2 linked regions of the Tribolium castaneum genome follow. The protein of the gene in region 1 interacts with the protein of each later gene in a pairwise test. Links are inferred from orthologs where the notes say so. Each region holds a gene or a part of one and is shown on either strand. Other genes may lie near its edges.

What was found.
Region 2: the proteins of dlg1 (region 1) and bor interact in a two-hybrid assay, tested with the Caenorhabditis elegans proteins (3 studies listed by BioGRID). The link is inferred for Tribolium castaneum from reciprocal best matches to the Caenorhabditis elegans genes dlg-1 and atad-3.

The regions. Positions count from the first base shown.
Region 1 is NC_087397.1:8,290,802-8,294,624, forward strand, and holds part of dlg1 (disks large 1 tumor suppressor protein), read right to left. Parts: coding exon 3,802-3,823; intron 3,555-3,801; coding exon 3,305-3,554; intron 3,251-3,304; coding exon 3,148-3,250; intron 2,089-3,147; coding exon 2,035-2,088; intron 1,801-2,034; coding exon 1,759-1,800; intron 1,653-1,758; coding exon 1,566-1,652; intron 316-1,565; coding exon 166-315; intron 112-165; coding exon 1-111. UniProt on the Caenorhabditis elegans protein: Essential multidomain scaffolding protein required for normal development. Recruits channels, receptors and signaling molecules to discrete plasma membrane domains in polarized cells. Required for proper embryonic elongation.
Region 2 is NC_087398.1:2,267,186-2,271,457, forward strand, and holds the start of bor (ATPase family AAA domain-containing protein 3A homolog), read right to left. Parts: upstream 2,906-4,272; 5' UTR 2,615-2,905; coding exon 2,398-2,614; intron 2,307-2,397; coding exon 1,832-2,306; intron 1,781-1,831; coding exon 1,623-1,780; intron 1,578-1,622; coding exon 1,327-1,577; intron 1,278-1,326; coding exon 1,154-1,277; intron 986-1,153; coding exon 694-985; intron 641-693; coding exon 442-640; intron 392-441; coding exon 248-391; 3' UTR 1-247. UniProt on the Caenorhabditis elegans protein: Essential for mitochondrial network organization, mitochondrial metabolism and cell growth at organism and cellular level. Important during development for the up-regulation of mitochondrial activity during the transition to higher larval stages.

The sequences.
Region 1 (3,823 bases):
CCGCTTCTATGAACAGGTGATTTTGTATGTCCTTCTCCATCTGTTCCCTCGAGCTGACAAAATGATAATCCCTTGCGTCAACTTCGTACTCCCGCTTGGGCCTAGTCGTATCTATAAACCCGAATTATGTATTGTATGCAAACAATTTTTGTTTGTCGAGCTTACGTGGGACACAACTTCCGAACTTGTCGGGGAATTCGGAAATGAGGTCGTCGTTAATGCGGTCTTTGAGAGGCCCCAAAATAATAACCGGCCTCGTGTAATTGATTGCCATCTGCTGGACAGGTTCGTATGAGAGTACATTTTCCTCATTGCCTGAAAACAAAACCAAAAATTCAATTTTGCCGAAAACTAACTCACTTCGTTCGACACTTGGCAAAATCTGGACTTAAATTATTCTTCCTGGAAAGACTTACAAGCCAAGTTACAAAAAATCAAACCTCTAACATTCCATAACACACATTCACATGAAGTTACCCTAGATAAGAAGCTGAAAACATGTTAAAACTCTAGAAAGACACAACTGTGAAAAGAGACACAAGACACAGAAAATTTGTTTTAGTGACACACAAAACAAATCAATCGCAAATTCGCAAATAAAAACAAACACACCTACTTACGTACAACTCAAAGTACGCTAAGTCTATGTTAATGCAGTTAAGTTTCTAGTTGTTTAGAAGGCTAGCACATTCACCCTACATGATAGCGCAGGCTTCCTCGAATAATGTGACAGCGCCATCCACAAGCCGAGCGACGAAAAAACTACTTCTACCCTAAAGCACGCGTTTCACTCACGTAATTAATTTCAATTACAATTACTTCGGGCAAATTATAACTAATTTCTATTACAAAAGTACAATATAATTAAAATTTGAAAATATATTGCTGAGACAGATATATTTTTTTAAAGTATACTATTCTCAACTAAATTTTTTTCCCTTTTGATTTTGAGTAATGAAGCCATTTTTAGCCATTAAAACGCAAATGGACCAAGCAAATTTGTTCAATTTGGTCACATGATTAATTATAGATTAATGACTCTTCTATAAACCGGCCCTAAGTTTATAAATGAACTGCTACATTTTTTGTTTATTTCGGTAATTTACCAGATCAATCGTTTAATAAAGTTTTATAAAATTTTGAGCTATGAACATTTGATGTTTTTTGAATCACCATGTATTTTCCATAATTTTCCACTGATTGAAAATATCATAAGTACTTTGCTGCTTTAACTATTATGAAAGTAAATAAATTACTTTCCAAGTAATTGTAATTAATTACTTAACAAGTGCGGCAATGTCACATTATTTCATTTTCCGCCTAGATGAGGGGGTGGGACGTGAATGTTAGCATAAACCGCACAACAAAACTCCTGCTGGGGTCTGAGTGTCGATTCGGTAACATTGAACTTTCAAACTGAGATTTCAACGATGAAATGTTAGGCCAAAATGAAAACTCCATATTGGATTAATCATTGATTTGTCAGATAAACAAATGATCGGAACACGCTGAATCAGTGCAAGGGGCGCTGCTGATCGCCATGCAGTCACAACACTAACACTTACTATAGTCGTCATTATTATCATTATTCTCCAGATAAATTAACGTGATCTCTTCCATGTAAGGTAGCTCAACCCGATATAATATTTCACCTGTACTATGAAACACAGAAAGAAGCCAAAAGAAAATTTATGTAGTAAACCAAAACGACAATGCAATATTTTTATATAAAGACAGTAATTATGAATCATACTGTACCTTCAGCATTGGCGTCCTCCTGGGTGTAGCATAACATGAACGCTGCAACACAAACCATCACATTAGGCCGGGGTTAATACACAGAATATGTACATGGTCTAAATCACACTCGAAGAAACTAATTATTTAGATTAATTCACATCAACCACCGTACAACAGAATCGATTAGTGGGGTGCTGTTAGTAGAAAATAACAAAAATAACGGATAGCGTCAGGTTTCAAGGATATACCTATTCATTACCGGTTTACACCTAAAATTAGTTAATGAGTACTTACATGAGGGATTTCGTTCATTATCATTAGCAGAGTTAGGAGTGGCAGAAGGAGAGTCTAAAGGTAGAAAAAAACAAATATAAAAATAACGTCAAAATAAAAATCGAATCTCAGGGGGTAAAAGAAACCAGAAAAAAATCGAACGAGTGAAAGGAAATTCTACGAACCATATACTAGGAGACGAAACGAGACACAAAAATGAGGGAGCCTTAAGTTTAAATTCAATCATTTTGTTAATTAATAATTGTTCGAAAGAAGTAAGTTTTTAATTTAAAGTTCTTTTACTTTTCCATTTCATTTCCCGCAGAGGAAACTGAAGGATCATCTGCTAAGTTTTATCTCCGCATTTTTCAGTTTAATACCACTTTCAAGTACTTCTGCAATTACAAATAAAAATTTAAATAGTAATTAAATTTATTTTTATGCAATAATTTGTGACGATTTTGTTAATATTATTGATGATATCTATTTATGGCAATTGTACTATCAAAAATTCGAGATGTACCAAATTTTTGCAGTACTTTATATTGACTGTACAACAAAATTAACAAATAAATGACTAGTTACAAAAAAAGCAGTTTTAGGTTAATCAATAGATATCGTTTTTTGATATTCAATGACAATCTTTTTGGTAACAATAATAAAAAAAATAGTAATTCATGTTACAAGTCCACAAAATAGAGTTTTAATGGACAAATCGGATTAAGGACGAGGCGACGAAAGAATAAATGACCCGGAAGTGCAAAAAATAATTATTCATCGTTTTGTTAGAGAACGATTACTTAGTGTGAAACAAAAACATTAAAAAATAATTAAAACCGAAGAAGATAACATAACAAATTTGTGTAACAAAACAAGTTTTCCCGTAATATACACACGCAGTAAACAACGTAACACTAAGTTGGTGCGCCAGTTTTTGGCCTTTGAGAAGAATTTAATGTTCTATCTGCTCGTAATTTTTTATTTAAGTTGTGCTCACCGTTATTAAATACAACCATGTTTTAAATTCATTGCTCTTAAAATTTAGACGGGAATGGGGACGGTTTCACTTGTATGTCGTGTCGTATCCTAGTCTTTAGATTTGATATCCGTAACAAAATCAAAAAAGTGACTTACGTTCTTGATCTGAGCCGTCTTCCGACTTGTCGTCTTTACTTTTCATGAAGGGGAACTTTCTACTAAACGAGAAGTTTTTCTTTTTCCTATCTAATGTCGATTGCTGCAATACATCGATCAGTGAGCAAAATACGTTATACAACTCGTGCGTTCAAACCTTATCCATAATGTTGGGCATGTGTCCTTGGAACTTAACCGAGCGATCCCTCGCCCTTTGCTTCCTCTCCCACCTCCTCTTCGACGGAACAATCCCCATACCCTGTTCATCCCCCGTGTTAAGTACCCTCCGCGCCTGCCACCACTCATCATCACTGGCATTCGTCACATGTAGGATATCCCCATAATGAAAAGCGAGTCCCCGGCTCGGCAACCCGTCGTCTTTCATCGGATCATAATCGAACAGAGCTCTGCAAATTCGTTTAGACATTACCAGCAACCCTACTATTCCGCCCCTAGCTGCAGTGTTCAACTACAAGTTCTAAAATCATCTCTTAATTATTTAATTTTTGTGACCCTATTATTTCTCCTTGTAATGTAGTTAAGTTATTTTAAAATCATAGTTAGACATACTTGCATTCAAGTTGTATTTAGTTACATTTTCAAAAAAAGTAGTTGAAGTTGGGTTTAATTATATTTGTTAAAATGTAGTTTTACCTGACGTAGAGAGAGCGTTTCT
Region 2 (4,272 bases), on another chromosome or scaffold:
AAAACCAATGCAATAATTTAACAACAACCGAAATTTGGCGAATTAAATGCACACCAGTTGGTGGTGAACTCACTTTCCTTGTATAAATATAAACAACAGTCAGTAAACTTAAACCGTTTAATTTAGTTTACTGGGCGGCAAACACAGAACTGATAAACGGCAGTGACTGGGTCAGTTCTGTGTTTGCGGGATTGCCAATTTAAAACTACAAGAGTACGATTGTGTTACCCTATTTGGTCGCTATAATCTATCTAACTTTCGCTGTATCCACCTCCTCTTCCTCCGCTTGGCTAGCTTTCTGCTTTGGCACTACAGGTGAATAGGAATCTTCCTTTTCAGAATGATATATACTCTTCGACTCCTTCTTTTCCTGTTCGGATTGCCACTCGACCTAAATCAGTCATTCAATAAATACAACATCACAATACAACAAATCCGCACCTTTTGTCTGTGTTGTTTCACTGCGTCTCTACACCTATCCAAGACCATTTTCTCGGTCAGAACACCATCCTCAGACGCGTAGGCCGCCGCCTGCCATGCCACCCCCAATTTTGCGATTTCTCGGCCAGACATGCCTTTGGTCATCCGTGCCATTTGGCTACACAACGCACCGTAATCGAAATTATCAACTTTCAACCTCCTTTCAAAAAAAATTATTAACCAACTAATTAAGGAGACAATATTCCAACAAACCGTTTGCCCTCAGTCGCAGGCTCCAAAACGAATTTATCAAAATAGAGCCGAATTAAACGCTCGCGTTCCTCCAAACCGGGCAAACCAAACTGTACCATTTCATCAAGACGGTCATTCACCGCCCAATCAAACTGCTCCGGAGTGTTTGAGGCAAGAACTAACATAAATTTTTGACTTTGTTCGCCAGATCGGTACAGAAATGCGTTAAGTGTGGCGCGCAGATCTTCAGAAATGTGCTCCGATGAACGTTTGCGCAAAAATGCGTCCGCCTCGTCCACGAACAGCAACAAACCTAATCATTAAAATCGGTAACTTAATTCTTTGAGAAGAACTAAAACTAAATCATGACAAAATGTTGATAATTCATTTAAAATTTATCCTTTTTACTAAAAAAATCATTAAAAATAAAACTTTATCGAAGAAAATAAAAAAAAAGTTGTAGAGAATTAAAGACAGCTACCTTTCCTGGTACTGTGAGCCCAATCAAAGACTTTATGGATAGCTGTCACCCCATCCCGACCCATGGGGGCCACATCGCCCCCTGTCAAAATGGCATAGTCCATCCCTGAATGTTTAGCTAATCGCTAAAACACAATTTCGTAATTTAAATCACACAGTGTATGCAAAAATTACTTTTGCAAACATGGTTTTTCCTGTACCAGGAGGGCCATGCATTAGAATATTCCTGTACATGCCCCTATTTTGTTTGGTATTTTTTGTAGCAATAGCAATGTCTCTGAGACGTTCCTCCAACTGCGGGGCTAAAACTACACCAGACAGAGCGTCTTGTTGTTTTGTTCGAATTTTTTTTATTGCTTCGATGGGATGCTTTATTGTGTCGAGAAACGAAAATCTTGATGTTTCTCTAACCAACGATGGTTTTCCTATTTGAAGTAGGTTAATATATTTTTTTTAATTATTGGATTTACCTAGCCGTGCTTCTATGTAACGTGCTGTGACACTAGTTGCCCCTTTGGCTGAATAAACACCCAAAGCCAGGAGGGACAACCCACCCGCAGCTGTTAAAACCTTGTCCCAGTCTGTGAGCAAGGCGTGGACACCTGTCCCCAAAACAGACCCTGCCGTTCTATTAAAAAAAATTTTTTACAATGATGTTGGCATTTTGTGAAATAATTACTTTATACTCTCGAGCACCGTGACGCGATTTTCGGTGGCTTTGAGCCTGATTTGTTCAAGAGTCAAGTCGCGATTTTCCCTGTCAACTTTAGCTTTGGCCTTCAGTTCAGCCTCAACCCTTTTCATTTCGTTCTTGTGTCTCAGCTCCATCTCGTGCTCAATGGTGGCCTTCCTCATGGCCTCTTGTTTGGCAACGGACTCCTCCTGTCTCTTCAAATTCTCTTCGTTCATCCTTTGTTGTTGGGCGAGCTGGTCGTCATATCGCTTCCTAGCCAACTGGTCCTGGTACTGCGCCCTCGCTTGGTGCTGCTTCGTCTCCTCCACCAGCAGCTTCCTCTTCTCCTCGGCTTCGGCCCTTTTGGCCTCAATTTGCATCTGAGCAATGTGCGCCTCATACTCCTTGATTTTCGCCTGCTGCTCGACCTGTCTGGTGGTTTCTTGCAACTTGGACAATTCGAGCGCTTCCTTCGCATGTGCTGTGCACAAATAACCAACGTGAACGTTATGCAACCAAAGGTTACAAGACATAACCTTCAAAGTTGGATTTTAGGTTTCAAAGCTACTTACACGATCTCTCGAGCTCTTTTGCGGCTTGGGCCGCACGTTCCAAAGCCGTCGAGTCGAATCTGTAAGCTTCCATTTGCTTTCTTTCAGCTTTGGTCAGTTTTGGATCGTTGGGGATGTCACCACCGGCACCTCCACTCCCACCGGCCGGGGGCGCCCCGAATTGGGACATGTCAGGGGGCTGCTGGTCGCGTCTACCGTAACCGAAAATCCACGACATTTTGCGCAATTATTTTCTATCAAATTTTCATCAAAGAAAAAACGTGACACAATTCTTAGGTTAAAGACGGCTGTCAAAGGAACGAGGGCACGACCATGCGCACGTATTTTCTAGATGCCAAAGTTGCATAACATCGCATGTGGACAAAAACGTTTTTTTTATTAATTTAACCTTTTCTTAATCACTACGAGTTAATAATTTATTGTCCTCCAAACCAAATGCTTATCGCTGAGATTGTGTCCACTTACAATTTTTTGCATCTTTGAACACTTTTCTTTTTTATAGCTTGTGCTCATGTGGTCTTTTGTGCCAAAAAAATTTTGAAAATATTTTTTTTGATTTTTTATTTTCGAAATAAAGTGATAATTGTTACGTTTATTTGTGTTATTTCTTCCGCAAACATTACATCATTGTTGATTTTTGCCTCAACTATTGCAATAACCAAAAAAGCATAAAAAATCCCTAGTCTTTAACGACCGGCGATTTTACACATGGGGGTGAAAGTGGGATACGCGCATTGGCAACTCGAGAGTATAGGCGAGGGGGGCTTTGCACTCCCGGGGAGATGAAAAGGAACGACCAATGACGACTGCTTATTTTAAAACAAGCGCGTATTCATTAGGGATTTCATTAATTTGTATTTTTTGACGTAACAATGACATCTACGCTTGCGCTCAGATCGCTAAAAAGATCGCGCCGAAAATATCGCGCCAAAAGTGTTGTGTTTTGTCACTCATCGTTCAACGTGTTACCGGAAGTATGTAGCAATTATTTGTTTAATCGTTTAATCACAGCAAAAATTCTGATTACAGTACGTTAGTGAGTCAATTCCTGGTGTTGAGCACCGACCAAAAAGATAAGTATCTCTTCTTTTGCTAACATAACTTCATCTTTTTGATTGGTGTTTCTTTCTATTTTAAAGGCATTGGTCTCTGGGCTGGGGTGACGGATTTTTGATTTCTACTACTCAAGCGAACTTTAGTCATGGCTGGTTATCGCAAATATTCCTGCAAATACCCCGGATGCACCAGTGGTTATGTTCCCAACAAAGGACATGCCAACAAGCATTTCTTCACTTTCCCTAAGAATCCAAAGCTTCACGAATTGTGGAGGAATGCCTGCAAAATTGAGGATCCTGTAAGTTCAAAATTTTGGCGTTTATGTGAGGATCATTTTGAAAGTCGCGATTTTGTTAATGAGAGGAAGGATAAATTAAATCCACATGTAGTTCCAAAACCATGCGTTATGGCCCCACAAGAGGAGTTTGTTGAGGTTTCCAACTGACTCAAAAAAGTACCGGTGTGCTTTGACAGATGAGTCGCCCCATTTGGCATTTTGGTCAAAATTGTTAACGGAGATGGGCCATTGGAAACTAATAGATTTGAAAAATGGAACTGATTGTACCAATCAGTTTTCATTCGTCAAGGGTTGGCAGACGACAATCAGGTCTATTATTTTTTTATGGAATCACCTCAAAAACATCGATGGGTTTGATTTTTTGAACTTGAGGGGTCTAAACCAAGACCCCTTGGAGAATCTTTTCTGTAGTATTCGCCAGCACGGTGTTGCAAACACGAATCCCACATGCCACCAGTTCACAGCTGCCTTGAAAACCGTAGTTGTTAACAATTTGGTTTCACCAAAAGGCTGTGGTAATT